Drosophila melanogaster: one gene and its partners. The protein of the gene in region 1 purifies or fractionates together with the protein of each later gene. This does not show direct contact. Each region holds a gene or a part of one and is shown in the gene's direction. Other genes may lie near its edges.

The links.
Region 2: the proteins of Brf (region 1) and Trf purify together in Drosophila melanogaster (affinity purification with mass spectrometry; 3 studies listed by BioGRID, with this or other methods). This does not show direct contact.
Region 3: the proteins of Brf (region 1) and not purify together in Drosophila melanogaster (affinity purification with western blotting; one study listed by BioGRID). This does not show direct contact.
Region 4: the proteins of Brf (region 1) and Myc purify together in Drosophila melanogaster (affinity purification with western blotting; one study listed by BioGRID). This does not show direct contact.

Annotation. Positions count from the first base shown.
Region 1 is NT_033777.3:17,386,438-17,394,498, reverse strand, and holds the start of Brf (Brf RNA polymerase III subunit), read left to right. Parts: upstream 1-3,161; 5' UTR 3,162-3,336; coding exon 3,337-3,409; intron 3,410-3,470; coding exon 3,471-3,839; intron 3,840-3,898; coding exon 3,899-4,003; intron 4,004-4,233; exon of another isoform or gene 4,234-5,344; coding exon of another isoform or gene 5,345-6,056; intron 6,057-6,114; coding exon of another isoform or gene 6,115-6,789; intron 6,790-6,856; coding exon of another isoform or gene 6,857-7,010; intron 7,011-7,075; coding exon of another isoform or gene 7,076-7,597; intron 7,598-8,061. Other genes in the region: CREG (cellular repressor of E1A-stimulated genes), read left to right, coding at 240-683, 745-826, 899-1,008; sds22, read right to left, coding at 1,590-2,570; lute, read right to left, coding at 5,519-6,056, 6,115-6,789, 6,857-7,010, 7,076-7,597.
Region 2 is NT_033779.5:8,067,932-8,074,448, forward strand, and holds Trf (TBP-related factor), read left to right. Parts: upstream 1-4,963; 5' UTR 4,964-5,039; coding exon 5,040-5,194; intron 5,195-5,265; coding exon 5,266-5,785; 3' UTR 5,786-6,017; downstream 6,018-6,517. Other genes in the region: poe (purity of essence), read right to left, coding at 1-221, 283-2,449, 2,705-3,117, 3,241-3,335, 3,517-3,635; MED20 (mediator complex subunit 20), read right to left, coding at 4,072-4,830. UniProt on the Drosophila melanogaster protein: Acts as a transcription factor. Binds to the TATA box promoter element which lies close to the position of transcription initiation. May be essential for embryonic development.
Region 3 is NT_037436.4:18,614,982-18,623,950, reverse strand, and holds not (non-stop), read left to right. Parts: upstream 1-1,821; 5' UTR 1,822-1,838; coding exon 1,839-2,579; intron 2,580-3,118; coding exon 3,119-3,520; intron 3,521-3,581; coding exon 3,582-3,692; intron 3,693-3,759; coding exon 3,760-4,574; intron 4,575-4,743; coding exon 4,744-4,786; 3' UTR 4,787-5,145; downstream 5,146-8,969. Other genes in the region: bora (aurora borealis), read right to left, coding at 1-828, 887-1,164; CG13380 (uncharacterized protein), read left to right, coding at 6,794-6,803, 6,860-7,224, 7,506-7,640. UniProt on the Drosophila melanogaster protein: Histone deubiquitinating component of the transcription regulatory histone acetylation (HAT) complex SAGA. Catalyzes the deubiquitination of histone H2B, thereby acting as a coactivator in a large subset of genes.
Region 4 is NC_004354.4:3,369,875-3,378,106, forward strand, and holds the start of Myc (Myc), read left to right. Parts: upstream 1-3,284; 5' UTR 3,285-3,849; intron 3,850-5,065; exon of another isoform or gene 5,066-5,069; 5' UTR 5,070-5,131; coding exon 5,132-6,359; intron 6,360-8,232. UniProt on the Drosophila melanogaster protein: Participates in the regulation of gene transcription. Binds DNA in a non-specific manner, yet also specifically recognizes the core sequence CAC[GA]TG. Seems to activate the transcription of growth-related genes; required for cellular proliferation and growth.

The DNA of each region.
Region 1 (8,061 bases):
AGAATGCGGCGCACAGAGAAAATGAAAGAGGCGTAAAAGGTCAACGCTATCCGTAGTCCGCTTTGTTTACGGCCTACATCGTGAATCAGAGAGAGTACTAAAAGTGCGGATTATACGCGATTACGATGACCGGAAGATAAGCCAGTCATTGCGAATTCCCTGTCCATAAATGCTGACCCGTCAGCTGTCCAGTGTTCAGTGATCTTTCAGAACCGCATCGTTATACTTGCAGTCTAGCCATGAAAACCTTTCACTCCCTACTATTCGCCCTGATTTTGGCCCTCGTGAGCCTGGACCCCTCTTCCGGTTACTCCCGCCGGAAAGATGAGCGTATAATTAGAGAATATAAGCGAGAGCAAGAGTTAAATCACGCCAAGATCGCCAGAGATTTGGTCCATCGCGCCAATTGGGCGGCTGTGGGAAGTCTCTCCACCAACGAACGGGTGAAGGGGTATCCCATGGTCAACATTATCTCCATCGACGACAGCGATGCTAATAACAGGTCCACTGGACGTATTCGATTCCTGCTAACCGATTTGGACTTCACTGGTCCCGACTGGCAGAAGGACAACAAGGTCACACTCCTGTTCAGTGACGAGCAGACCCTAAGATGCAAGGAGGGCGGAAAGGATCCCATGGAGCCTACATGTGCCCGTTCCATGATCAGTGGACAGGTGAAGAAGGTATGAAAAATGAATTAAATCCTATTTAAAATGGATTAAGAATGTTTTGGCTCATTTGAAGATGGATCCTAGCGACAAAAGCTATCAGCCATCGCTGGATGCCTATGTGAGGCGTCATCCAGCTGCCATCAATTGGGTAAAAGGTTGGTGAAAGCGAACCTCATTAAGAGCTCGATATGTATGTACTAATAATAAATACGTTGTTTCTTTTACAGCTCACAATTTCTACCTTTGCGAACTGGAAATTAGCAATATCTTTGTTCTGGACTTCTATGGAGGTCCTCATAAAGTGAGCGCCTCTGACTATTACGCTGTTTCGAATTGATGAACTCCTCCAAAAGCAATCCAACTGACGCCTCATATACTTTGTCAAAAAATGAAATGATAAGCATATTTGCACAACATGTCTGCCACAAAGGGAAAGAATGAAGACAAAGGCCTTTATGAAAGCCACTTATCAGTTGAGCTCTGTGATTTCAATCGATAGAACAATAACTTTGATATAAATAAAAATACATTCCGTTGAATGTACTCTGACATACTGAAATGTATTGTTTTGGTTTAAGAGAAACCAGAATTGTTTAACTAAAATGTTTTCATCTTTTTAGATTCAATTTACATTATTTATGTGTATATATAAAATACTTTTTAGTTTTATATGTTAGGCGGTAGCCTAGATGGATAATTTATCTGACTCATTAGGTAAACTTCACGCTTTGAGTAACTTATCCAAATATACCTTCTTCTGAAAGCAAACTAAATCACTGCACCCACCAATTCGTAGATAGAACCATTAGTGGTTAATTTGTATGTATATTTTAAACGCAGTTTTTCAAAGTTAATCGATATAAATGTAGTGGCGCAACGCCGTGGATTAGTCTTTCAAGGGGTTTACAGTGGTTCCATCTAGGTACCGGGCACCTTGCACAGGGTGGCATCAATCTTCTGCAGCTGCGGCAGTATGTCGCGCAGTTTGGAGCGGTAGCGAACATCCTTGGCCAGCGGATTGTACTCCAGGTAGATGGTCTGCAGCGCCTTGTTCACCTTCAACAGCTCAATGTCCTTCCAGTCATCGACTCCGTTGTGGTTCAGCCACAGCTCCTCGAGCAGTTCCAGCTTTTCCAGATTGGCAATGCCCTTCAACCGGTTCTTGGCCAAGTCGAGGGTCTCCAATTTGGTGTTCTCCGAGAGGTTTTCAATGGTTTCCACTCCGTTTTCCGAAACGTAGAGTTCGCGGAGGTTGGCAAGCTTTTCAAGGTTCTCGATTTTTACAATGCGATTGGCCTGTAGACTGAGTATCTCCAAATTGACCAATGTGTCCAAGTTCTCGATCTTTGCTATCTTATTTTTGCCCAGGAAGAGCTGTCGTAGATTCACGAGCATTTCGATGTTTTCGATCTTCTTCAGTTTGTTATCCCCCAGCTCTAGCATGGTCAGATTGGTGAGCATGTCCAGGTTCTCGATTTGGGTTATCCGGTTCGACACAAAGTAGACCTTCTCCAGCTTGACCAGCTTGTCAAGGTTCTCTATCTTCGTCAGACGATTGAAGCTAATGTCCAGCACCTCCAGGTGGGGCAAGTCGTCCAAATTCTCAATCTTGGTGATCTGGTTGTCATACAGCTCCAGCTCAATCAGTGTTTTCAGGCTGGACAAGTTCTCGATTTTCTTGATCAGATTCCAGCGCAGAAACAGGCGCTCGATTCGAGTCAGCGGCTCGAAGTTCTCCAGCTTCTCGATCCGGCGATGATTCAGATCAAGCTCGTAGCAGTCCGGATCGATTGTGATTATATCCTCAATGGAAGCCACATCCTCGGCGGGAATCACCTGGATTCCGGACACAGTTTTCGCGGCTTCTGGTTCGTTCATCGCACGATCAGCATCGCCCATGACTGATATATTTTGACCGGCTTTTCTTTTTTTTTAATTCAAGTTGACTTTCGAAAATTGAACGCTGACTTGACTTGTTGTTTATTCCGCTGCTCAGGGTGGAACAAAGTGGGGTGACTTTCTTTAAATATGACGTCAAAGCTTGACACTGTTACAAAAGCAAGAACACACGGTAAATATAAATATGTAAATTTAAAATAAATATGTATTAAAATATTTACTTAATATTTATAAGTTAAGTCCAAGATGACTGTATACTCCTTTTGGTCCAACTTGTTCAATATGTCAACAAAATACTTAGTCACCTTACCGGCACTTTAACACTATTTCTACTAGAGATGTGCACCTAAGAACACGATGCTAAACCTGTATTATTATATATTCCAATGTAAATGAAAAACAAATATTGATTGATAATTTGCCAAATAAACTAGAACATAATTTTTGGAACCAGCTTTACGTAATTTTTACAATTTTAATATCTCTTTTAAGTTTTTCAAGCAGTTGTGCCAATGTCGTTCTTGATTGAGAAATGCGCATCTCTAGCATTTCTTCTTCTATCATCAGTGTTAAGCAACGCCGGCGGGGTTCAATCAGATGTTTTCCAAGCGTGTTGATTCAATTGGCAACAAATTGCAAATTGTTTAAAAAAGACTCGAAAATGGCTTTCAAATGACAGCAAACAAGTAGTTTAAACTGTCAAAACAACGGATAAAAACGAAGCGTTGCAGGTGGCAGTGTTTATTAAAGCAAAGAACAAACAATCATGTCTACGGGCCTAAAATGTCGCAATTGCGGATCCAACGAGATCGAGGAAGACAATGCTCGCGGAGATCGAGGTATAATGACATCCAAGGACCCATATCCATGACACTAACGACGTTCACCCATTCACTGTAGTTTGCATGAACTGCGGCTCGGTATTGGAGGATTCCCTCATTGTTTCCGAAGTGCAGTTCGAGGAAGTTGGCCATGGAGCAGCCGCAATTGGCCAGTTTGTGTCCGCCGAGTCGTCGGGCGGTGCCACCAACTATGGCTACGGCAAGTTTCAGGTGGGATCGGGCACCGAATCCCGCGAGGTGACCATCAAAAAGGCCAAGAAGGACATCACACTACTCTGCCAGCAGCTGCAGCTATCCCAGCACTATGCAGATACTGCTCTGAATTTCTTCAAGATGGCATTGGGTAGGCATCTGACCCGCGGTAGGAAGAGCACCCACATCTACGCCGCTTGCGTGTACATGACCTGCAGGACAGAGGGCACCTCCCGTGAGTAGTGCATTCATTTTGCCTAAAGAGTAGCTTATTGACTGCTCATATCTTCACAGATCTCCTCATCGACATCAGCGACGTACAGCAAATCTGTTCCTATGAGCTTGGTCGTACCTACTTAAAGTTATCGCATGCCCTTTGTATCAACATACCTTCTCTGGGTGAGTGAACGTTGTGAATACTAAACTATACACCTAAATCCCAATCCACAGTCAAGTCAAGCCATAGCTCCACTCTTAATTTTTGTTTTTTTAAAAATATTTTGTTGGGTTTGTTAGATTTGCTTGCTTTCCTTTTATCAGGTATTTAACAATACTCTACTCGTTCCTGTTTTCTTTATGCACTACTTACGTGATGTCAAAATATCCAAAATCTTCAACTCTGAGAAAGTAAATTCGCAAAAATCTAATAATGTATTTTGTTTGATTAAAGTACATAATGGTAATAGATTCATAATCAATACAGGATAACATTTTATATAGATATATGTATATAAAAACCATAATTGTCTTATCAAAAGCAAAAAATCAGTACAATTTCCAAAGAAATCCGAAATACAAACGTAAAACTGATTGTTGCGCTCAGCAGGCTATAATAATGCACAGGAGAAGTACGGGGCTTAGTATCAGTAGAAAGGCATATTGTGTATGTATGAGAGATATAATGGAACAACTACGAAATAGATATAATGCGTACTACAAGATTAATATTTGAATATATATGTAGGGGGGATTTTGTGCGCATCTCGTACAAGATCCCTTGATTTCATTTTTGTTTGCTATTTCGTTAACTGGTTAACTTGGGTTTCAAATTCGTCGTATGCAACTATTAACATGGCCTATTCTCCCTCGAAGTGTTTAGGACTATAGTTTATCATTATCAGATCAGATGTGTGTATATGTTAGGTATATGCTGGCAAAAATATGTTTGGTATATATCGTATTAGCTTTTGTCCACTCTCCCTTTAACTGTCTTTAGAATATTGGTTAACGCTAGCTTGACTGATTGCCCGATTTTCACTTATTGCATGTATCTATGCGTCTCTATTAGCGTCCATATGACCCCATCCCGCCCTCTTAAGTCGTGGAACGTATTAAGTTTTCGAGTCAACTACTAATCTTTATCTATAAAGTTAAGAGTGTATATGATCAACTTTTTCGATTTTGAAAATATCTTTATATGCATTACCAACAGACTATGTGCAGTGCGTTTTAGAACTGCAAAACCATTGATTTCACTTGCTTAACATACTTGGGATATCGAAGGAAACTTTCCAATTATAGCAAATTTCCTATATCGATTGACTTGCATCGGCTGACTTTTTTTTTTGAGATGATCACGTACTGACAATCGTCTTGGAGTTTTAAAACGCACTGCCGAGGTGTATATATATGTGTCTATGCTTTGACGTGTATATATATGTTTATATATAGGACTATTATGAAAACTAGAGTACTCTACTATCTTGGTATATATATATATATATATATATATATATGAGCCTAAAACTCCAATTTACTTTCTTGTGCTGCACTGAAAACCCATGAGTTTCGATTTTGTATCTGTATCTTTTGCGGTTGCTGTGTTTTGTATTGTTGTGTTGGTCTCCTCTGTTGCTGCTGCTGTTGGCGGTAGTAACAGGCTCCCTGCCACTCGGCGCAATAGAGCTGTGCGCATCAGGTGCTTCCGTCGCCATCCTCCCCAGAACTGTTGGCGTTATTGCCAGATCCATTGCTGCTATTCGGAACAGCTGTTCCGGCTGCTGCGGTTGAAGTCGCTCCTGCATTGGAGGAACTGCCACCAATTGGCGTGGGACACAGTGAATTGGTGGGCGAGCTCATTGCTGTCACTGTGGTGGGTCCGTAGAAGATTAACTCTGGGATTTGGCCGCCCTGAACTCCGGTGCCGTTGGTGCTCTCCGACGAGCACTGGAACTGGAATGTCACATTGCCCATTAGCACCTCGGACATGCCCTCCTGGCCAAAGAAGCTAAGCTCGTTTCCATCGAGAATTACGGAGGCGGTATAATAACACTCGGGCTCGATCTGGATGGGATTCTCGAAGAAGACGTGGAACGTGTTGCTTGATCCGTCCGAGAAGAACTTGGTGTCGTTCTCTGCAAGCGTGCGGCCCAGGCGTTTAAGTTCGATCTTTACGTTGTAGTTGGCAGCACCAGTCGACGAGCCGTACAGTCCAAAACCCACAATGAAAATTCTGAAATTTTCAGTTTTAATTACCTTAATCCAATAACCATTTGTTAGATAGAACTTACCTTCGATCAACAGAAAACTGAATTGAATCACAGCGCCCGCGGTAGCGCCACTGGTTCGAGCGATAGGCGCACGACTGGAAGCGATGGCAGACCTGGGTCTTTAATCCCGCCCTGGAGCGTGTGGGAAAGCCCAGGGAGGGCTTCATCTTGGCAGTGAAGTGCAGGAACATGTCGATCGTCTCCTGCGACGAAAGAATGCCTGTCTGGGCCACGCCGTTAGCGAACTCCTCCAGCGACATTGTGGGAATGCGGATGAGGTGCAGCGCTTGTCCCAGCAGCCGGCGCTTGTTCTGCGGCGTGTCATCGATGCTCATCTTCTCGCAGGCGTTCATTGCCCAGTTAAGGGCCGCCTCGAACAAGTGTATCTCCTTGCAGTTGAGTGTCTCTCGCGAAAGAATTGACTCAAAGGTCTTGAGATCAATATCCACAAAGTCCTCGGACTTAACCGCCATCTCGGCCTGGGCGTCGATCACTTCCCAGCAACGTTGCATCAGCTCGGGCTCCTCGAACAGACGCGATTGACTGAGAAGTAGGCAGGCGTTTTTTGCCGTCAACTTCACCTCCAGATAGTTGACGCATGCTCTGGCTAAGTGCGGGACAATGTACTTCTTGGCTGCATAGAGCGTGGCCAGAATGTGTTCAGGTTCCAGTTTGATTTCATCACAATAAAGGTACCTAAGCGGAATCATAGAGAGTAAATATATACAATTCCGATTGGTTGGTTGGGATGTGGATATCTTACCTTAGCAACGTTAGGAAGGCAGTGGGTTCCACGTCAGGCACTTTGATTTCCTGCTTGTTCTCCGCCAGTCCTCCATAGAACATAGCATAGAATACGGAACTGCCCGTGGCGAGAATATATTTGTGGGCGGGAATGGTCTGAATGGGATCGATGTCTGTGAAAAATGCAGGTCATGAGCAATGCTGTTTGATTGGTTAAAGAAAGTAAAAGAACGCTTACCGAACTCTCCGCCCACAATGAACTTGACATCGGACATGAGTTCGTTGTTGAACATGGCTGCATTCCTCTCGAGGACCGTCGCCTTGCTGGCCTGCCAGTTGGGATCAGCCGTATCGATGGCGTTGGATGCTGCCACAGCTGCGAAATGCCAATTGGTTCCGGCAGAGCACACATACGATCCACTCCCACTGGTGGGCGTAGCGGAAATGGCAGCCACCGCTGCCGCTGCGGAACTGGAGGGCAGACAAAAGGCGGTGGGACTGCCGGAGATTCCTCCGGCACTTCCTGCACCACCACCACTGCTGCTGCCACTGCTGTTGAGGGCGCCCGGTGAAGCCAACGGCGAGGATGGAGCACTGATAGGCTGCGTTATCTGGATATTGTGATCCGCTGCGGCAGAGGGACCTCCTCCGCCTCCAGCTGGCGATGCTCCTCCTCCGCCTCGCTGTTGTTGCTGCTGCTGCTGCTGGTGATTGTGGGGCGGCGAGTGGAGCAGCCCGTTGCCATTGTTCAGGGTTTCCACTGCAAATGAGTTTTGGGAAAATGGTTAAATATTTGGGCTAAACGGGTTACGTATCGCTGTTCTAATGATCCCACCCAGTTCGCTCAGAATCAGCAGCACGCGTGGCCACATTTGTGCAACTTCCGCTGCGTGTGCATCATAAATAACAAATGCCAGGGTCTCCCCTTTTTCCACAATTATTGCACCCCAGGTACAGTGGGGCCTTGCTGTGTAGGCACAGTGTGTACCTGTCAAACTGTATTTAATATTTTAATCATGACTTAAGCATATTCTAGCCCTGATAATAAACCTTGATCTTTGAGCATATAAAAGTCTAGGCTGATGTAAGCTTTACACACGGGTTTTAATTATTTGTGTTCAAATTCAAAACTGAAGTTCTTATTCCTGAAGTTTCACTGTCTTCTAAAAGTGGAGCGTCTCAAAATAGCAACGTATTGGGACACTGTTGTTTTTGTTTGTGTTG
Region 2 (6,517 bases), on another chromosome or scaffold:
AAGATTATGCATGCTCGCTTCCTTGTCCTTTTCCTTGGAATACATTGACATGTCGGTGATGGATAGTATGTCAGTCAATGCATCCACCAGTAGCGGATATTTAAGCTTATCCGGTGTGCAGAGAATAAAGTTCCAAGCCAAACCATCCAGCTTAAATTCCTGAGCCCAGTAGGATATCTCGGGATCACCCATTACCAGAGAGTAAAAAGTTGGGCGAATTGCTAAAAAAAAAATCAAGATGGTTGAGTATCGCTGGAATTGGAGATTAAATTCTCCACTTACATGAGCCATATTCGCCGGCCGACTTGCGGAAATTCTCTTCAATATCATGGCGGCAATAGGAATTCAGTTTGGTTCGGCAGTTTAGCAGATCCGTGATCTTTTGGGTGTCCGGCATGCTGCTCACACTAAAAAGATTCCAGCGCACCTGGTCTAGCAATTCCGGAGGCGCATTGTACAAGTGCTTCATAAGATACTCCAAAAAGAGCAGCAAGCGAGACAGCAGCATAATTTGGCTGTTTTTTACGGGTCTATCCTCGCTGATTCCACGACAAACTTCTGCGCAACGGATAACACCGCCAGCCGTTAAAAGCAGAATGGATTTCTTTTGCATCAGATTGAGCGAATGAAATAGGAAAAGCAGCAGTTGGGCGTGCTCAATGTTAAGGTCTTCATAGTCAGAATCACTGGCGGTATTCGAAGAACAAACTCCTTCCACCAACGTGTTAATAAGGCGGTGCCACACGGACAGGCAGGCGGCTTCCTTCTCTTGTGTTGGCTTCAGCAAAAGAATTTGCACCAGTACAGACAGAGTACTCGGATAAACTTGTAAAGGCCAGGTGTTTGTATCAGTAGACCATGGCGATATAGACAAGTGCTGCAGCAGATTTGACTGCAATTGCTCGGACAGCAATGAAGTGGAAATCAAATTGTGAATATATCGGCCTGCAGCTCCCGAAAATCGAATCATCGACGTCTGCCACTTGGTAGAAGCTCCTGCAGAGGTTCCTGCTCCTGCACTGGCAGCTGGGGCATTTCCCGACCCCTGATCGCTCTCATTTCGCATCACGTCGCGGTCAAAATCTTTGATTATATTTGCCATTAACAGCATTTGCTGATCACTAACGCCTGCCTTTACATAGCGCTGCATGTAGGCATGTCGATTGGCCAAAAATTGATCCAGGAAACAGAATATGTCTGCGGCCAAGTCTAAATACTCATGTGGCTCATCTAGCTTGGGGACAAGGGCGCTCTTCTGTTCAGCACGCTCTTGTGTGGATGTGTTTGCATTATCATCATGGGTTTCTGGAGAAAGAGTTTCCTTAAACCAGTGGCCCAGGTAACTCTCACTATCGTCCTCCTCGGAGTTGTCCGAACAGGAGAGAGAATCGTTGAAATAAGTCGTAGAATCTGAGTAGCTTATGGGTTCGCATTCCGTACGATCCTTGGCGGAAGCGCGCTTTAAGGTGCATGCCTTGCGATAAGCCACAGTGGCTAGAAAAGTGAAAAGTTGATGCAGAGTGGCTGTATTCAGCACGCGGACAATCCGCTCCAGCGAACTGTAGTTCTGCAAAATATCGAACTGTGCAGGCTCCGGGAGCTCTGTGGATTCGAGACTCTGTCCGCATGCGGCTTCAACCTTTAGATCTTCTATTAGCTCTGAGAGCAATTTAATGCTGTGGTTAGCAATAGCTGCATTGAGTTCTCCAAATCCTTGCTGTACCTTGAAAAGGTTGACTCTGGCAATAGGTGTAGTAGGTGCGGTTCCAGCCTCACTACCAGACTTGGTCGCTTTTGACGCCGACTTCGATGCCGAATCCGAGCTAGATCCACCGCTTCCAGAGGCGCCCATTGCTCCTTGTATACCGCTAATTAGCAGCCAGCTGCCATAGCAGAGATGGTTCTGATATACATGAATCCTGGCCGAAGTTTTGAACATGTGACCAATATTGGAGTAGATCTCTAAAGCTTTGTTCACTATGCTACAGGCCTGATCCTCAAAGTCGTCATGGTCTTTGTTGGATTGCCCACCACTAGAACCTCCTACTCCGCTTCCTTGACTAGTGGATGCAGTCTGTTTCTGAGAGCTGCTGGCCTGGCTCATACCGAGAACACTGGTGGCTATTGAGGTCAACACAGCATTGTATAGCGCAGCAATACCACACATTGATAGTCGTTCAATTCTACTGGGAGTCAGTGGCTGCATCTCGATCAGGGCTTGGGCCTGACTCAAAATAGTCAGATCAGTAAGCATGTGATTCATGCTCGATTTCACTGCAGTGGCCTCCACTTGGGTCAGTGGCAAATAAAGCGATTTACCGCCGTTGATGGTCTCCATATATTTGGATCGGTATCGATTGAGTATGGGCAGGCTCACACACACATCCAGCAGGGTATCCACTCCGTTTTGCTCCTGGAAGTACTCCACATTGGCCGCCAGGATTTGTTCCTGAAAGAAGTAAGCTTTTAATATTGCGTATCTCGTTTTTAAGAAAATATAAATTTGCTCATAGCTAATAGTTATACACAACTTCTAAATTGATCGAGTAGGATAAATATTTTCATTAGATAGAATATTGCATTTTAGTTTAGTTGTGTAATATATCCGTACCTACTCAATTCAAGAGTAATTTATAATAATAACAGACAAATATGACCGATCTTAGGGAAGCTATTAAAACAGGAGTTTAAGTTATTTGCTCACAGTGCAGTCGGTGACCTCCTCGCTGAGTGGAACCCAAGTCATCTTGCCGGGCTCTAAAGGAGCAATCAGTTGCTGCAGAATAACCGAGGACAGGTCCGACCGGGATCGCTTAATCTCCGACTTGGGCGACTCCTTGTCGTTGCTGGCCCCACTTCCGGAGGAACTGCTGCTGGGCATAATGCTCTTGGTGGTCGACTCGGGATGTTTGCAGCTTTTAAGAACATTAGCCACCGCATTGTAGTCGAACATGGATGACGACGCTGATGCTGGGCACTCCCGGCCCTCGCAGAGCATCTTGAGGGCGCCCAGGAGCCACTTGGTCTCGTAGACGGACACCCTGGGCAGTCTATAGATAATAAACCGGATAAGCACGGCGGTGGCATCGTGCAACTGACAAATCTGCGTCTGGCAAACTGAAAAGCACCAAGATGATAAATGTAGCGAACGCGAATTGGCGCAAGTGAATCACTCGATTCTTGGCCAAACATTTCTTTGTTTTGTTTTCATTTGGCGAAAAATCATTAGGGTGCACTTACTTGTCTTGATTTGCATAAGTTTGTCCGCCGCCAGGGCCGCAAAGGCCGTGTAAAACTGCGTGAAATTGCTTTCCTCCTCGAAAAAGTCATGTTCGCTATGCAAATATCGGAATAGAGCGTTGTTAGTTCTCGATATTAAAGAATTTTCAAAGCTTTTTGCTATTTCGTCACCGGAGCGGCCATATTTAATTTTGCAAGTCACTTTTTGCACTAGCAGAAAATTTTTCACTACGCCATTCGGTAGGCGAAAAGTTCTAGATGATCGTTTGTACTTACCATCGCGTGATAGCTTTGAGCAAATTAACAACTTCGTTCTTGTTTAAGGCTCCTGTACGGTTAAGTATCAGGGCTTTAACAACGGAATTCCAATCCGTTCCGCCGCTGTGGGCCGACATTATTGTTTAAATAATCTCGTCAATTTGCCCGATAGTACTGAGTACTCGGCCTACTGTGTGGCCAGATTTCATTAACGGTAAAATGCCGTGCGAGCAGGGATACCACACAGCTTTAATCATTATTCCAATCAGCTGTTTTAAAAATACATAAAAAAGTAGTGAATAACCAATATATGAAAAAAACTGTACACTGCACAAAATATATATATATATATATATATAACTATAATATTTTAAACGTATTTGGACAAGCTAATAAATGTTTTGTTTATTCGTCTAAAATATGTAAAGCAAACTAGTGATGCTAGCTTTAAAATAATGATTATTTAATTATTAAATATTAGTGACATATGTATATTTTTTTTGTTTAAATTATCTTCTAAACATCTTAATCGGCTGCAGGCTCATCCGGTGGCTCCAGCTTGACGTCGGCGGATCAGGATCGATGTAGTCCCGCCACCGCCGGCGACATATGCACGTTCGGACCAACCTGTTGGCTACCCGGTCCACTGCCCATACCGCCCATAAGAGTCACATGCTTCCTATAGTTGGTGAACTGCTCCAGGTATTGTTTCACGGTGTCCATTGGCTCAAAGATGTCGTTGTGCTTGGCATGCAGCTGCTGTTGCCCCATTGCCGTCATTATTGTCTGTGGAGCGAAATAGGAGGGAAAGTCCTTATTCACAGCAATGCCGAGGAATCCCTGCAGCATTTCGCGTATCATTTCCCAGCAGTAGGCCAGAATCACGCATGACTTGTACTCGATTTCGATGAGGATGCCCTTGAAGTGCTCCATCATGGTGACGGAACCGAGTTTGATAACAAAGTCACCATACTCGAAACGAGCGCCACGGGACTCGATTTTGGTCTGCTTTTTGGAGGTGAAGGTGTTGGTCATCTTGAGCATGAGCAGATCGAAGATATTGTCGGCGACAATGGCCACTTGTTTGCCGGTGCCATTGTCGATGATCGAGAACGTGGAGGCGGGATACTCGGAGTTGTGCAGGACGTGGACTGCGCGTCCAGGTGCTCCATTGTGCGGCTGTGGCGTCGAGATGAACGTTTCGCAGTCCACCAGAAATTGACCGGCATGTGTGGCGCCCAGGGCGAGCAGACGCTTGCTCAGCTGATCGATTATGTGGGCACCCGATTTGCCTTCGGGTAAGGGATACGGTTGAAGGATAGTTACTCCCATAGTTTATGCAATAATGTCAGCTTTTTAGTTTTATTAATTTTGTTTACAAGTCTTGCAAGCTAAAAGCGTCCAGTGTGACCAGTGCTGACTTTTTAGTCATGAGAAAAGTTAGACAAATAAAAATACCAAACCGGCATACAATTTTCGTCAGCAATAAAATAGGACAACACTGGCCACGTCGCGTGCGGATTTGTTTATAATTTTCGGCAATGCAGTTTCACTTTAAAGTCGCGGACGCTGAAAGGGACAGGGATAATGTGGCTGCGACCAGCAATGCTGCCGCCAATCCGCACGCAGCCCTGCAGCCGCAACAGCCCGTTGCCCTGGTGGAGCCCAAGGATGCACAACATGAGATACGATTGCAGTTGGTTGACCACTTTTCAGAGGCACTTCATGAAATAAATAGAAACCCATTGATACATCCATAACTTGCAGGAATATCGTGGCCACCTTCTCGGTGAACTGTGAACTGGACCTCAAGGCAATCAACTCGCGTACGAGGAACTCGGAGTACTCGCCCAAGCGCTTTCGTGGCGTCATCATGCGAATGCACTCGCCCAGGTGCACAGCGCTAATCTTTCGAACGGGCAAGGTCATCTGCACGGGTGCACGAAACGAGATTGAGGCGGACATTGGATCGCGAAAGTTCGCACGCATCCTGCAGAAGCTGGGATTCCCCGTAAAGTTCATGGAATACAAGCTGCAGAATATTGTGGCCACCGTTGATCTGCGCTTCCCCATCCGCCTGGAGAACCTCAACCACGTGCACGGGCAGTTTAGTTCCTACGAACCGGAGATGTTTCCAGGCCTAATCTATCGCATGGTCAAGCCGCGCATCGTTCTCCTGATCTTCGTCAACGGAAAGGTTGTATTTACGGGCGCCAAGTCGCGCAAGGACATTATGGACTGCCTGGAGGCGATATCACCTATTTTACTAAGTTTTCGCAAGACGTAGTTGTTTCTACACATCCAAATGTTTTTGTTTAGCTTAGTTATATTCCATAACTACAATATTTTTAATATATTTACCTTAACTTTTTTAGTATAAAATGTGAAATGAAACAACTTAATTAATAATTTCCATGGGTAAATTCATAGAAATTGTAAGATTTTATTTTGGCCTTACTAAGCAAATTAATTTTTATTTAAAAAAAACTGTTGTTATTTTAAATAAATTTTTATATATTAATGTCTTGTAATCCATTTCATTCTATTCTTTGAATTAATAATAAATTTGTAAGTAATTTGAATTTTTATACATTTTTGTACCCATTCCTGGAATTTGGGAAAAATATTCAAATCCACAAATTCTGAAGTGTACCAACACATTCCATGAAAAGAAAACACATTTGGATAAACATTACTTTTATTTATTTTCAGGTTTCGTTTATTACAAAAGAAAACACAAGACACTTCATAGAGATTCGATTCGATTCTTATGGTACGGAAAGGAGCGACATTCTTAAGTTGTGTACAAAAATTTCCTTGTTTCTCGCTTAGTAGCTTCATGTACATGGCTATGTGAGATTTGTGTTGGGAATTTATAAACTAATTGTGGTTCATATGAAGGCGTATATACGTATAAAACTTACAAACTATGCAGATTCATTATTTGCATAAATTAATTGGACGGTTTCTTCAACGATTTTCACTTCATTTCGTTTAAAAATGTATTCAAGAGTTAGAT
Region 3 (8,969 bases), on another chromosome or scaffold:
CTCCTGTCTGGCGTGAACTTCAATGCCGTGCGCTCTGACAACGTGTCGTGCTGCTCCGTAACGCTGATCTCTACCTTGGAGTGCACCAATCTCCGACTGAGATGCTCCGACGGGGCAATGGGCGACGGCAGCTCCAGCTCGTGCATTAGAAGTTTCCTCTTTCCCGAGCAAGTACCATTATCGGGCGTGCCAGGCGGCAGTCCGCATAGGTTTCTAATGGGTGAAAGGCAGCCGAAGCTACTTTCCCCGGATGCGGAATCCGACAGTCTGCCAGCGAACATTGTTTGCTTGCCCTGCGGACTGGAGCCCACCATGGACCTCGATGGCTCTGCCGTGTCCTGTTCGCCCAAAACAATGACATTGTGCAGATCGAAGAGTTTCCGGCGCATGGAACTATTAAAGATGTCGGGACCACCACTTGACTTGCTCCTGCCAGACAAGCGGCCAGCCAAATGTGGCTGGAAGTACGGACGCAGGGCATCCTCTAGGGCTTTTGGCAATATCGGCGGCAAAGTAAGTTCCGTTTGCACCTCGCAATCCCGCATCCTTCGCGACTTATTCGATATGGGAGTGTTGTCCTCGCTGCAATTGAGTATTATGCGCTGTTTTCGCAATGGGCAATCCACCGGACTGGGCACAATGAGTGACTCCTTGAAAAAGGCACTGATGGCCAACTGGGCCTTGGATTCCTGCTCGGGATCGGGGGAATCGTGGAACTGGGTTTCATGGGGCTCCACGTCGGCGGGTTTTAGTTGGGAGACCTCGTCAATGTTCCACTCGAACTGGGTGGACGAGAGTTGGGGTGTCCGCGAGCGGAAAAGTGAGGGGCTGCCAGGAAAAGAGAGGGTCGCGTTAAGAGGATTTTTCGAGCAGACGAAAAACTCACCTGGCGATCAGTGGCAGGTGTAAACGATCGGCCATCGCTCCTTCGAAGGGATTCCGCACCTTGTGCAGCCTTTTCGGGGGCGGGGTGCACACATTTCCCGACATCTGGGGGCTGTATTTTCCATTTTCTTTGCCGCCATTCGTTGGCGTTGCCGACGCCGCCGACGAGTTGCTGCTGTTCGAGTGGCTGTTACGGCGCGCCCGGCACTTCAATCCGTTCACATTTGTAATGTATCGATTCTTGAGGGCTTGCGGCGTTCGCACCTCGTCGTTGTACATCTTTTTCAGTCACTAAGTCGCCTAATTTCGACTTAAAATAAAACAAGCGCGCCTGCTGCGACTCGCAGGCAGATGTCGGTATTTTCAAATGCAGCAGTGTTGTATAGCGATGCAGCGGAGTTATCGAATCGTTGGCAATTCGAAAAGCAGAATGCGAAAGTGAGGGATGTTCAAGGAAAAAAAGGTGCTAACGACTGATTTGTCACTTAATATTTATTTATTCGCATATCTAAAAGTGCCTGCAAATTATTTCGACTCCCGTCTAACTTTTAGTATTTTTATTTTGCGCGCCACCCGCTGCTTGCTGTCGATAACACATCAGCTGGGCGACTTTAACCGTTTTATAATAAAATGGGACCAGTCTAAAAATAAAGAATGGTTACTGGTATACAAAATTGTATCCCATTATAAACTTGAGGAATAAGTAGCTCGTAATTATCCGAATATGGATGCATTTCAATATTTGGGCTGCTAGAACCTTTTATTGTTCCTATAACCCGAATAGAGATTCCATTTCAATATAACTTTATCTTGAATGGTTTAGTTTACTTTCTATTTAAACTAATATTCCGTTTTAAATGTTTCAATACTCTTATATTAGAAAAATACCAATGCCAACATCTGAGTACGATTTCGCAACTGGTCACACTGACAGCTGTCTTCTACCAACACATATGCGCGCGTGTGTATGTGTTTGCGTGCAGTGCGAAATAGAAACAAGAAAAGCAAGCGAAAAATCACAGAAATTCACAAAAAAAAAGCCCAACTACTTCCAAAATTGGGCCGCCCGGCGAAGAACCGCAAAAGTGGCCAAAATTCGGCGAAAACAGCGCAAGTGTGACAAAGCATTCGTGCCGCTGCAGTCGTCGGCGAAACGGGCGAAAACAAAAGAGAATAGTGTTGATAGTAATACGAGCGTATTTAGCAGTAGCAGCAGCAGCAGCAGTGGCCGAAGCTTCGGCAGGGGAACGGAACGGTGGGCGGTGGGTGCAGAAGCGGGCCGGGGAACGGCCGAGAACGAAACACTAGCAGTAGCAGCAGCAGCAGCGACAACAACAAATGCCGGTCGCTTTATCACCGCCGATCTAATCAAAACAGTTAACAGCGACAAGCAGCGAGACAGAGTAGCAAAGGGCCACAGGGACGCGAAAAACCCCCTAGATGCCACCAAACATTTGCGCCTATCGGACTGCTTGCGTACCGTGCAAAAACTTGCTATTGAACTTGAGAGCGCCGACGCCGGCAGCGACGCCAGCGCCCAAGCCAACGCTAGCGCCGACGCCAGCAGCGCCGTCATGTCCGAGACGGGTTGTCGGCACTATCAAAGCTATGTGAAGGAGCACAGCTACGATACATTCCGGGTCATCGACGCCTACTTCGCTGCTTGCGTCAACAGAGATGCGCGCGAGCGAAAGGTGAGTTCAGTAGCGTGGAAGAGAGTGGGAGCTAGAATGAGTGCGCTACTGGCGTGGTGAGGTGAGAATGTGCGAGTGTGCGAAGGGGAGAACGCAATTACAATCAGAGGTGCGCCGTGAGTCACGTGAAAGGTCACTGACACCCCGGCTGTGGGATGACAGTGGCAGACAACGCACCGTTCTCACCACAAAGCAGTGCGGACTTTTTTGAATGGGTAAAGCATGCAACAGCTGTTTTAACAGCTGACAAATTGGCACTGTGAAAAATACTTTTGCATCGAAAAAGTTTTGTTTTCATTACGGTGAAATTACATATCAAGAAAAATATATTCAAAATATTTAATATTGTTACATGGCTTTTGTATTTTTAGCTTCATATTGATTATATATTATATTGCTTACGAGATTTAGAGTTTTCAAATTTTTGTTACACTTTTATGCATTTAGTATGGGACGTATTTTTTGTAAAGTTAATGGGATTAGAAAAAAAACGAATATAATTTTTTATCAGCTGCCATTTTAAAATCTACCTCCGCCAGGCTATTCACTGCAACTGCTTCGAGTGCGGCAGCTACGGCATCCAGTTGTACGCTTGCCTGCACTGCATCTACTTCGGATGTCGGGGGGCCCACATCACGAGTCACCTGCGATCCAAGAAGCACAATGTGGCCCTGGAGCTGTCCCACGGAACGCTCTACTGCTACGCCTGCAGAGATTTCATCTACGACGCGCGGAGTCGCGAGTATGCGCTGATCAACCGCAAGCTGGAGGCGAAGGATCTGCAGAAGAGCATCGGCTGGGTGCCGTGGGTTCCCACAACCAAGGAGACCAATCTGCTGCTGGCCAATGCGAGGCGTCGGCTGGTGAGGCCCAATCAAACGATCGGACTGAGGGGTCTGCTTAATCTGGGCGCCACTTGCTTCATGAACTGCATCGTCCAGGTGGGCAAATCCAATTAAACTGGCGAGTCTCCTCTCACTGACTTACTCCTGTCTCCTCTAGGCTCTGGTTCACACGCCCCTGCTCAGCGATTACTTTATGTCAGATCGTCACGACTGCGGCAGCAAGTCATCGCACAAATGTCTCGTTTGTGAAGTGTCACGTCTCTTCCAGGTGAGTTCAATATGCTGTGGTGTTTATGAGGAGTCTTTTCTATTCGATATGCTATCCCCCTTTGTAGGAGTTCTATTCCGGCTCCCGTTCGCCGCTGTCGCTGCACCGGCTACTGCATTTAATCTGGAACCATGCGAAGCACTTGGCCGGCTACGAGCAGCAGGATGCGCACGAGTTCTTCATCGCCACTCTGGACGTGCTGCATCGGCACTGCGTGAAGGCAAAGGCGGAGCACGAAAGCAAGAGCAACAGCTCTGGCTCGGGAAGTGGAACCAATTCCAGCAACTCGAGCAGCTCGCATTGCTACGGCCAGTGTAATTGCATCATTGACCAGATCTTCACGGGCATGCTGCAGAGCGATGTGGTGTGCCAGGCCTGCAACGGAGTGTCCACCACGTACGATCCGTTTTGGGACATTTCGCTGGACCTGGGCGAAACAACAACGCATGGTGGTGTTACTCCAAAAACGCTGATAGACTGCCTGGAGCGGTACACTCGGGCCGAGCATCTCGGATCGGCGGCCAAAATCAAGTGCTCTACCTGCAAATCCTACCAGGAGTCCACCAAACAGTTCAGCCTGCGCACTCTGCCCAGCGTGGTGTCGTTCCATTTGAAACGCTTCGAGCACTCAGCTCTGATCGATCGCAAGATCTCCTCGTTCATTCAATTCCCCGTGGAGTTCGACATGACGCCCTTTATGTCGGAGAAGAAGAACGCCTACGGCGACTTCCGGTTCTCTCTGTACGCCGTGGTCAATCATGTGGGCACCATCGACACCGGCCACTATACGGCGTATGTGCGGCACCAGAAGGACACGTGGGTCAAGTGCGATGATCATGTGATAACGATGGCATCGCTCAAGCAGGTGCTGGACAGCGAGGGGTAAGAATGACCAATATATTACAACTTTATCACCGCAAAAGCAGCATTCAATGTTAACTTACTTAAGTTGATTTCACGTCTTATCTTAAATTCATATACAACGTTATTTAGCTTTTTATTCGGATTATCAAATCATTATTAACTAACTACTTATTTTCACTTCTTTCAGTTATTTATTGTTCTACCATAAAAATGTGCTGGAATACGAGTAAGAAAATCCGCTGAGATCGATTAAAGCAGCGACTGCATCCCTCAAAAAACAAAAGCAGAAAACAGAAGTCAATGCATTACGAATTACGAATAAACACAAAATACAGACAAGGACGCGGCAGCGCTTACATATTAAGTAATATTAACACAAACACGAAAGCAATCCTACAATTTGAGGAGTGTTCATTTGATTCGATTGGGGTTATTCAAGCTCACAAACTCAAAACATTGGAACGAACAATGGAGAACAAAAAAAAAGGAAATTAATGAAAATGTAATCAATCTGAACACTCGATTTGTGGAGATACCCGTTTTGCTCTAAGTATTTCAAATCCATAATACTAAAAACAAAATCAAAAACAACAAGCAGATGACTTATACATTTATATTTAAAAATCAAACAAGGGATATTCTACAAACGCCGTATTACAAATGGAAAGCGAATTTTTATCATTTTTCTTGAAATGCCTTTTATTGAAAAAAAAAATGTTAAAAACTCATTTTCAGACACATCCGTTATAACTGAACCAAAATCCAAATCATGCTTATGAATGTCATGGATTTTTTTTATTTCGTCTTCATTTAAATAAGGAGAGCAATAATTGTAAATTTAAATACTTACATTTTTGGGGGCTTAGGAAACTGGGATTAAGATACATTGCAATTATTTAAAAAACAAAAAAAAATTACAACCGACGTCAACTTGGGCTCGTCCGGGAATTGAACCCGGGACCTCTCGCACCCGAAGCGAGAATCATACCTCTAGACCAACGAGCCTGCGGTACTGGGAGCGATCAGAATGACGCTTTTTAATGTGCGAGCCCTCTCACTCCATCGCTCTGCCTTGTGCTATGAGCAGGCTAAAAAGAGACAACTATAGTGTGCGCTTGGTTCGAACGCTTGCTTACTTATTCGATGCACAAACCACATTGAATGTTATCTGGGAATATAATATGCTATTTATGAGCATACATTTTTTAATTCCGTGTAATGAGAACCTACTCTTGTTGGATAAAATCCAATTGTCTAATTAAACTTTTCACAGTCACAGCTATACATAATTGTTCCTCAATTTTCGTGAGGAATTTTATTTATTTTAAGGTATAAAATCCTTTTTCTGAGACTACCATCTTCTGAGCTTGAATTATTATTAATTTATTAAAGGAAATGTATATTTTATCGGGTCAATTACCTTATCGATAAGATCGGGAGCTTTGCAATACTGTCGCAGTTGGAAAAAGTCTAGGTGTCGTCAGAACGCGGATTAAAATGTAGTTTCAAAAGTCGTACAATTATCCCAACTTCAAGTAAAATGGCTGCATATGCGAGCGCAAGAGGCAAAATTATTATCAACGCTGCCCAAAACATCCAGAACTAAGCAGCCAAAATGTTAAAACAAACGGTTAATATGCATGCTCATATGATTTTGCCGCAGATGAATTTTTTAATGTACGCTCGACAATGCGCTTTTCGCAACGCTCATGCAAATTACTTGTGAGTCTCCGGGATTTAAAAAAGAATCAATCCTAGACGAAAACTGTAATGTTACATAGTTTGTACGTAAGGAAATACATAAACATTATGGAAATGTGCCAATTTTTCAATTGTAATGAACCAAATTGCGTTTGTTTACTTTTTGTATTTCGATGGTATAGGTCAAGTTTCACAACAATGTATTTCGACTTAAGGCGCTTTTGGACTTAAATAATCATTGATAGCAAAACAAGAAAGAAATGAAAATATGTAGAAAATCCATACATCACCTATTCCTTAAGTACAGTGATAAAGCGTAGCACTGTAGCGAAATGATTTAAAAAAGACGAAAAAATAAATACATATACCGATACTTTGTTTTGATACTGCTCGCAATTCACAACACTGCCAAGCGGCGTTACCTCAAGTTGGCGTCGACAAACATTTAAAGTTTTGTTATCGGGAATATCAAGTTCACAAATATTTGTATATTCATTTGAGAATTTTTTGTGCGTGACGATATCCGTTTAAAAACAATGCCATTCGGTAACTATGAGCTTTATATAGCCACATCTGATCCACTAAAGCAGCGTGTATTTCAGCCAACGAGGGAAATGATCCAATAGCCGCTCGCCTCTCCAAATGCTATTGGAATCTTTCGTCTCCATTCTTGAAGGATGTCATTCCAAAAAAGCGTCCGTCCAAAGCATTCAATCGCAAGCCGCCGACCAAACTGGAATCCGAGGAGGAGGAGTACCACAAATTCGAGCGTGGTCTCCACATTTCTGACTTAGGCCCCAAGTTAAAGGAGACGGATGGACAGCCAAAGCTTAAGTTCGAGCTGGCAGACGACTACAAGAGCTCCAAACACTGCATCTGCATGCGCTCAAACACCGCATACGAGTGCGAACGATGCCATCAGTACTTCTATGGTCGCCTCGCCCAGATTTGTGATCTGCATCCAAATGTATGTGGTCCTCTTAAGGGACAACACCTAAGGATATCCCCTTTGAGGGATTTTATGTAATATGCCACCAAGATAGATATAGCTAGTAACACCAATTGGTGGTTGCCCCATAGGACCGAGTTATACAAAAGATTAGCGAAGGGAACTGTATTTAATAGTACATATTTATAATACGCGTATATATAGATATGCGCTGTTATTTCTTCGATCAGGCATCTCCCTACCCATATCAAATTCTTTATTGTATTGTAAAATCTTATCTTTTTTCTCTTCCTTGCTAGGAGTTTTTCCTTATGGACTTTCGCAATTGTCCATTCTGTAAGGCACCCATTGAGATGATTAAGAAGTCACCTATCAGCTGGGAGACAATACGTAAGATTGAAGAAGCCGAATTGCCCAGTGATGGGGATCTATGATTATGAGTTTGAGACTCAGCTGCATGTTACCTTAAATACATTGTTAAATGTAAAAACAAGTGTATATATATATTTAATATATACTTTTCGGACTTCGGTTAAAAGGGGCTGAGTTTGATTGTCCCTTGGCCCACATGTCAGTATTCATTTTGCAGCTCAACATTTATGTATGATGTGTTAGACAGGAACTGCGGCACGGACATGACCACGATAAACCCTTATAGCCCAGTCTGCAGATTGGCACTGCGGCAGTGACTCGACGCAAAGTGCATGGCATGGATATGCATGAGCTTACAGCTGTTTCCAAAATGGTAGTTGCTTAAAGTTTGCTTTTATAAAAAAAAACTCTTGAATTGGTGCAATATGCAAAAATCATATTTTAAATCCTGTTTACTTTTATGAAATGGATATTTAAATGGCTTATAAGTAAATCTTTTTAAAATATCAATTATTATTTGTATCGTAGAAAGGTCCCTATTTTACTTCCCAGTACTTCAGTTCGCAAGAATTTCCACGTACTAATGGGGTAACTAGACTGCGCTTCTCTCTCAACATGCTGATACATATCAGGTTAGTATATAATAATATGTGAACTTGCATTAAGATATCTGCCATCTTTGCAGTGCAGCGCGAAGTCTCAGCTTGGCACCATTGAAATCAGCGGACAAATTCATGTCACCAGATAACAATTCAATCACTTAAGAGTTCAGCACATTTTGAAATCGCTTTACAATGCCCCATGCCAAGTCTCCATGGGCACATTGTGGTGTCCTCCTTAGTTCTTCGTCCTGCGCTGCTCTGGCTAACTCCTGGTGGTCTGGTAAGTGGCGACGCTTTAGATTGCATTTGCCACGACTTATTTTCAGTTCTTTTCCTCCGTCGTTCTGGCTCCATGCACTGCAGTTTTCCCAACGACTTGGCAAGCCATTCTATGGATTCACTTGTTCTTGGACTTCCACTTGGGGGTTTTCTGCATCCGCATTCTGGTGCTTCTGGCCATGTTAAATCAGCTTGGCTGTGGATCGCAAGAAGCTCTGGCTTAGTCATTGCTGCTTTCGTCCTCGCTTCCTCAGCATTTTGAATGGCACAATGTTCGCAGTTGGTCGCTTTTCATGGGAAGTTTTAATGATATGGATAAGTAATCATTGTAAAGATTAAAGTTTTTATAATTTCCCGAGATGTTGGTCCGTTTATGCAATTCATTTAAAGTTTGCTTAAAGTGTAATTGAACTCATGTGATACGAAGGATGCATCTCTCTTTATATGATAGCTGTATTTGAATGATGTGAAGGATAAACGTCCTTGTCCTTTTTACGGACTGTGTCAACA
Region 4 (8,232 bases), on another chromosome or scaffold:
GGAAGTGCACATGCAAAACGGCAAAAAAAATCGAGAGCGAAGATAAAGACGAAGAAGACAACGAAATAATTTGTAAGAAAAAAATGTGTAAATTAAAGCGGAAGAGTCGACGAATGGCATGTCGACCATATTTGTACAGAATAATTTTCATTTAAGTTGAGAGCAAATGGACTACAAAACCTGACACATATTAACTAAATGATACATACTTTATGAACCTATGTACTTATTTAACATTTAACATTAGCATTTAAAAATGGAATAAATACTTACACATACATATTCTATACTTCGACTGTGCTAGCTATTTGTGCTAAAATACTCGAGTTCTTGACCTCCTCAAATAAATTATAATTGAAGGTTTGCTTATGCGTTATCTTCTAATACGATTGGCGTCTAAATAGATGGATGGCGCCAAAAAGGGAATGACAAATAACATACAATTGTACGTACATATATACACATATACATATACACGCATGTACGGTACACCTTGCAAACGTTGAGTTTCTATGAATATTTGAATGAATATTTTTAGTATTTATGTAATGACATGAATCCATCCATACAATCAAAATACCTGTAAAACTTTCCTTATTGCGTATTATAATAAAAGTACCTACAATTCGAAATAACACTTAAAGAGAGGGTGTGATTTTTCGTCGCCTTAGATTTGAACGTATTTTTACGTTTTTGTAGTAAAATACCAATACATGGGTAACGTGAAAAAAAATAAGAAGTCGAAGATAGCGACATTGTTGCAAAAGAAAGACTAGTGCGCAATGCAATTTACGATTATTCGCCTTATCAATGGAAGGCGATCGTTTCTGGCCTACGGTGAGCATAACTGCAACTGCAAGGCCCCGGCATTATCGCAAAACAATTACGCCGGGTACACCTGTCGACGCTGGCGTCAAAGTTACATTGTTGCTGCACGTGTAGACCGTTAAATGCCGAGTCAAATGCGCCTGCGAATGGGATGAACCTCATTCTAGTACTAGTACTATCAATACACTCAATAAGGTTGTGCATACAACGTAACCTGCTAATGCTAATATGTATGTATGTACATATGTATATTTATGTACTTACATTTCACTTTCCTGAGTTGCTCCATTCTTTCTATATTTTCGATGTTTCCCATAACTGCCGGTTTATTCGATTTACTGCCAATGCATTGCATTTTTACGGCCAATTTTTTGAAAGCTTGCAAATTCTTGACAAACTAGATATGGAAACTCGGCAGCCACTTGCTGCCGTTATTTACGCAGTTGTTTTATCTCGCCATGCACACTTTCCATTTACCCGCGAAACAAAAAAAAAGTGCAGAAAATAGTTTAATACTATTACAAAAACAAGCAGCACACGCAAACATAAATTGCGCAAACATCGAAACACAAGAAATATTACTTATTGAAATCGAGAACTTGGACGGACAAAAGCTCGCAAATTGCGGGACCATTTCTTTTTGTCTGTGACGCAGTTGTACCCTGTAAAAGTGGAGCATATCGCTTTTTGCCAACGAATGGCTGTTTGTATGCTTATGGATACTAAAGCGGAATGTTGGAAGGTGAATTTTATTGGGCTGTTTGTGATTTCCATTGACAGAAGAATTAAACAATTTTTTTTTTTTTTTAATATGTCGCTTGTACAAACAATTAATTAAATGTGCAAATTGCAGAGTAGTTGGGCGAGTGTGCAGCGTGCATTTTTTTTTTGCTGGTTCGCCTCGTTGCGAAATCAAAACAAAGCGTGTGAAAGAGAGGGCAGATGCACGCGCCAAAAGCGCTATGTTGTGCACTAAAAGTTGTGGAAATGAAAATCAAAGCGAAACGTAACAAAATCGACGGGGTGTAGAAAGCGGGAGGAACTTTGCGTCGGAACCACCTGATGATTTAATACTCTCTAAAAGGGGCAAAATTCAAAATGCAGGTCCTTTCAAGTCGATTTTTAAAGGTTGATATATGTGTACATATGTACATATTTGTGCGATAAACATATGTACACATGCACAAATCATTATTTGTATGTAGTACACATACTATGTACATTGTATTTTACAAACAGTTATTAAGAAGTTTGTTGGAATGTGCATACATACATATGTATGTATGTATGTAGAGACGTATGCTTGTGCATGTTATATTCTATTTTTCATTCAAGGTCCCCTTGCTTCCTATCCGCCTTTACCTTATTACCCTTTTCTACTTCTTCCACAACTTCTTCTTTCCAAAGTTGTAATATTTTTGGCTGGTTTCTATTCTTTTCCCTTTCTTTTTACATTTCCTTGGCATCGTTTAATTCGTTAACAAAATGTTTGGCTCTTCTTTTGTTTCTACCATGCGGCCTAACTTTTCTATTATTGTTAAATGAATTCTGCATTGTTTACAAAGTTCACAAGTTCAATCAACTTGACAAAACGGAAAATGAAGTTGCGTGGCAGACAAAGAGGTGACAAAGGCACACACGCACATAAAAAAAAGTACGGTAAATGCATGCATAGATAAAGGAAAGGGCAAGAAGGAAATACGAAAGAAATGTAAGGCGCCAAAGCAAGAGGGAATGAACAACTTCTCGCAACTTCTACGCAAAAAGGAATAGAGCTTAAAATAAATCGATTTAAAAATAGGAAACATTTATGCGGCAATGAAGAATCCCAAATAATGCCACAGAAAAGCAATTGAAACCTGTAGTTTTATGTCGATTAACATTAACATAAATAAATGCGTATATTTATAAATTTAATTTCTATATTTTAATATACATACCGTAAGTAAATTAAGGAAATGAATAAAATTTTGTTTTGATTTCCAGTCAACTACACATTTTCGTATTGCATTTATTTCACAAAAACATTTTGAGCCAGTTCAAGTTAATTGTTTATGTTTTTATTTACGGAGCAATTTGCGATTTGTCTCAATTTTGTTTGCGCTCAATTATTGTAAACACCACTCAAAAATCTCACTCTCTTTCACTCAAAAAAAAAATACCGGCAAACTGATGCTGTTATGTGAACCAGTGTGCGGGAGAGGCAAAGAAACATTGATCATTTTAAATGCATTGCGTACTATTTGAAAACCTTCGAGTATTAACAAATCGTGATGAATCCAAATGTGATCTAAATGTGATCCAAATGTCAAAGAAGATTTTTGTTGAAGCTCCTATTCTCACCACTTAAAGCGAATTCCAGCAAAGAGAGCAGCAGTGAGCATGCGCAGTGAGAGCGCAGAGAGCGCGGCAGTCTGGTACGATAGAAATTTTATTTAAGCCACAGACAACATGAAACGGGCACTATTTCTGTGGCGTCGCGTGTTCAGTTCACCGCGGGTAATTCAGAGAATCGCTTTGTGGATTGGATTTTTGCCTGTTTTCCGCCCGATACAAAAAAAAAAAACCAAACGCTATATAAATAGTTCTGTAGTAAAACCTGAAGCAACACGTTTTAAAATATACAACTACTACTAACAACTGTCACAGCCAAGTTACAAAAGTGCTAAATCCCAGAAATAACCTAAGAGCCGACTTAAAACCGCGCAAATACATAAAAAAAAATCTTCTCCAAAGCAGAAACAAAAACTTGTGAAAAACTAGAATTAAAAAAAGATTTTTTAAAAAAAATCAGCTAGTGCAAAATAAACGGGAAGAATTTTTTTTTGTGTCCCTTTTTTTGGTGTTTTTTCTCCGTCTTTCCCCTTCTTTGACGCAAAAAAAAAAGTGCCCAACTTGCTGGCGGCACGGGAACGGGATAGAAATAGATATAGCCGAAAGCGACTGGAAAGCAAAGGAAGCTAACTAAATTGGATTACAATCAATTAAATAGAGACGGATACGGAAACTATGTTCAGCGAGGTGAGTGCAAAGATATATATATATAATATATATTATTTATCGGAACGCAACGACTTCAAAAATCGCGCCACTACGGGGAATTCAAAATAGAATTTCTGGGAAAGGTGAAATAGCTTAACTTTTAACGGTGCTCTCACACACAATGACAAATCAGTGATCATGGCCGCACAAATCGATACGAAATAACGGATTCTAGGAACTCAGAAGGAATGTTAAGAATCAAGTGCTTACAAGAAATTAAGAACAAAAAGTGAGACAATAGAAAAGTGGAAGTGGACGAATTTTGCAAAACAAAATTCTACAAAGTTCTTTATTGTTTTGTGAAATTCTTCTTAATGCTGGCAAGTATTAAAAACGCTTTGATGGCGTTGAAACGAGTTGGTAATGTTCGAAAATTCCAGAACTCTGGGGCTCCAAAGTAATTAAATAAAATGGTCCCAAAATTTTTACGAAAGTATTAAACTTTTTAAAGGAGAAATAAATCAATTAATTAAAAAAAGAAATAAATTAGCTTGATAAATTAAAAAAGAAATAAATTAGCTTGATAAATTAAAAAAGAAATAAATTAGCTTAATAAATTTAAAAAGATTTAAATAATAATTTAATAAATGTTGATATTCCAATTTTACTATGATTCTGAAATTCAATATATACCGGGTTGCGTTCGATTCTGCGAAAGACATGTACTGTTAGTTTTTGCTCGTACTTGTTTACCGGAATGCAACGGATTCTACGAAAAGGGAAAAGCACAGTAAGCTTTGCAGGTCTGCGTTTATCGGTAAAAGGACCGTTTATTTTTCAGTAACTGGAATTGGGTATTTGATATTTGGTTTTCCTTTTATGCCCTTGTTTATTTCATTAGTATATGTATTTTTTTTTTTTTTTTGCTATTGTCAAGAGCGCCAAGATTGACGATTTCGGGTTCAAATGGTTAATAGTGTATAAATGAAGCTATAAGCTAAATTTGCTTTTGATAACATTTGCTGAACCCTCGACATCGCCTGACGTCATTATAGGTGAAATCTGGCACAGTAGAACGTGACTTAATACAATAATAATATTAGGAGTTTAGTTACTCTTACATTATAGTTGAAATGTTGCAAAAATCCTTATGTTGAAGAAGTTTTCAAAAAGTGTGTTGCCGACATATTTATTTAATTAAGTTCAAATATAGAATCATACCTACAACGATTTCCGCCTTATCTATATTTTTCAGACAGGCATATAACTCAGGAACTTAAGATATATAGAAAGAAAAAAAAACCCAGACAACATAATCGCAATGGCCCTTTACCGCTCTGATCCGTATTCCATAATGGACGACCAACTTTTTTCAAATATTTCAATATTCGATATGGATAATGATCTGTACGATATGGACAAACTCCTTTCGTCGTCCACCATTCAGAGTGATCTCGAGAAGATCGAGGACATGGAAAGTGTATTTCAAGACTATGACTTAGAGGAGGATATGAAGCCAGAGATCCGCAACATCGACTGCATGTGGCCGGCGATGTCCAGCTGTTTGACCAGCGGTAACGGTAATGGAATAGAGAGCGGAAACAGTGCAGCCTCGTCGTACAGCGAAACCGGTGCCGTATCCCTGGCGATGGTTTCCGGCTCTACGAATCTCTACAGCGCGTATCAACGATCGCAGACGACAGATAACACCCAGTCAAATCAACAGCATGTCGTCAACAGTGCCGAGAACATGCCGGTGATCATCAAGAAGGAGCTCGCAGATCTGGACTACACGGTCTGTCAGAAGCGCCTCCGTTTGAGCGGCGGTGACAAGAAGTCACAGATCCAGGACGAGGTCCATTTAATACCGCCCGGCGGAAGTTTGCTCCGCAAGCGGAACAACCAGGACATTATCCGCAAATCGGGCGAATTGAGCGGCAGCGATAGCATAAAATACCAGAGACCAGACACACCTCACAGTCTTACCGACGAGGTGGCCGCCTCAGAGTTTAGACATAACGTCGACTTGCGTGCCTGCGTGATGGGCAGCAATAATATCTCGCTGACCGGCAATGATAGCGATGTCAACTACATTAAGCAAATCAGCAGGGAGCTTCAGAATACCGGCAAGGATCCGTTGCCGGTGCGTTACATCCCGCCGATCAACGATGTCCTCGATGTGCTCAACCAGCATTCCAATTCGACGGGTGGCCAACAGCAGTTGAACCAACAGCAACTGGACGAGCAACAACAGGCCATCGATATAGCCACTGGACGCAACACAGTGGATTCTCCGCCGACGACCGGCTCTGATAGTGACTCCGATGACGGTGAACCCCTCAACTTTGACCTGCGCCATCATCGCACTAGCAAAAGCGGCAGCAATGCCAGCATCACCACCAACAACAACAACAGCAACAACAAAAACAACAAATTGAAGAACAACAGCAACGGCATGCTGCACATGATGCACATCACCGATCACAGCTACACGCGCTGCAACGATATGGTGGACGATGGTCCCAATTTGGAGACCCCCTCAGATTCCGGTGAGTCAAATTTATATACTTTTCATATGCCCCATTTTCATCAATATTGGAAGCTTAAAGTCCGAATGTCTTACAAGAAATACAAAATGGTCTGGTCGTTGGATGCATGGCAAAACAGTAGAGATTAGTTAGATCCCTGGGGATGCATTAAAATTTAGTTTACGCCTGAGTCAGTCTAAAACGCCTACCAAAAGTGGCATACTAATTACAACGTCGTGGGGCGGCCGATTAGTTTACAACCGGCCACATGACCCCCCGCCCGCCCGCACATTCATCCATCCTTTGGGTGTTGCACATTCAACTAGTGTTCGCACTTCCGTTTCGTGTGGGTGCAGAGTAACGCCCAAACGCACAAGTACGCTGTATACCATAGGCAACCGGAAAATCGATTGGCGGAAAACGCCTACGTCAACAGCAAACGTAGTAAACTTGTTACGTTGCACAAAAAAAAAAAAACAATAAAAAAGAGAAGAAAAAACCCGCCCACGCGACGCCGGCGTCTGTCTGCGGTGGTTTTCCATTTCCCCCATTGATTTTTGTGCTTTTCGCTGCGATGTGCTTGTATGCTCAATGCTCTGAGCTCTTGCTCTGGACTTTCCTTTATGATTTTTCCCACTTGCCACCCACAATGGGGAAAATGTTGGCGCGGCGCGTGGCTTTCATGGCTCATTGTGTTTATTTGCTCCATGGCGTCATCCTCTCTCTTCCGAAAAACTTATCACCCGGGGGATGATGATGATGTTCTTGCGCAGAACTACGCCCAGAATAAAAAGAACCCATATATATATATATACTACATATATAATATATATATTTACATATATATATGTACTACAATTTCTCTCTTTTGGGCCAACACCCCAATTTACTTGGCTTTTCCTTTCCGGGCTGTTGTTGTGCGAATTTCAAGGATGTCTGGTCACTGGCCACGTGGCAGACAGCCCCAAAATTTTCCTACCTCCTTGGCGGCATTTTCTCTAACAACTCGTGTATGCGCCGAAAATACGGGATATTTGCCCGTGACTAGAAACAAGAATAAATCTTGCCCATCAAAAAAAGATTTATTATGCCATTAATAATGCAGAAAAAAAAGTAAAATATTGTACTTCTCAATAATTTAAGAGGGAAACTACATTAAAAAAAAGTCCAGCTAGAATACGTGTTTTTCATATCTATATTTTTATAGTACTCCTACCTACTTGTTTTATTTGTGCCGGCGAGTTCAATGTCTGGCTCTCTTTCTCTCTTTTTGGCGCGCAAATCGTTATCCATTGAGCAACCCTCGCAAGCTTACGTCACGTCAATCATCTTGATTTTTACTACGTCTTACGCTACAACTACAACTGCGCATGCAACTACGTGTGCATTTTCTACTACAATGACTACTACAACTACAACTACTACTACTACTACGCTATGGAGCCGGTGTGGGCGTAAGCTTTTTGCCGCCGCTCATTAAAAAAAATATATGGTAAATAATAGCGGGAAATCAAGAAGGGGCTAGAGGTGGGGCAATGCAAGGGATAAATTAAACTTGGATTATAAAATATTTACCAATAAAGCAAAAAGCAAGAGCAACAGCAAGAGCAAGAGCAAAAGCATTTAACTCGTGTTTCTGCTCCCGCTTTTTCTCTCTCGCTCGCCTGTCTTTAGTTTCTCTCTTGCAATTTGCCGAGTGCAGTTAAACCGAGAAATTGCAGTAACAACAAGTTTGTTTTGTACGTTTGTTTTGGTTTATATGCTTTGCTTTTTTCTGCGCTCTGCTTTTTGGGTGTTGTCTGCTTTTGCGTTTTGCGTGCTTTTTTTTTTGTGTGTTTTATGCTTTTGCTTCTACCGCAACGAACGGAACGCAAAAAATGTCAAAAAAGAAAAT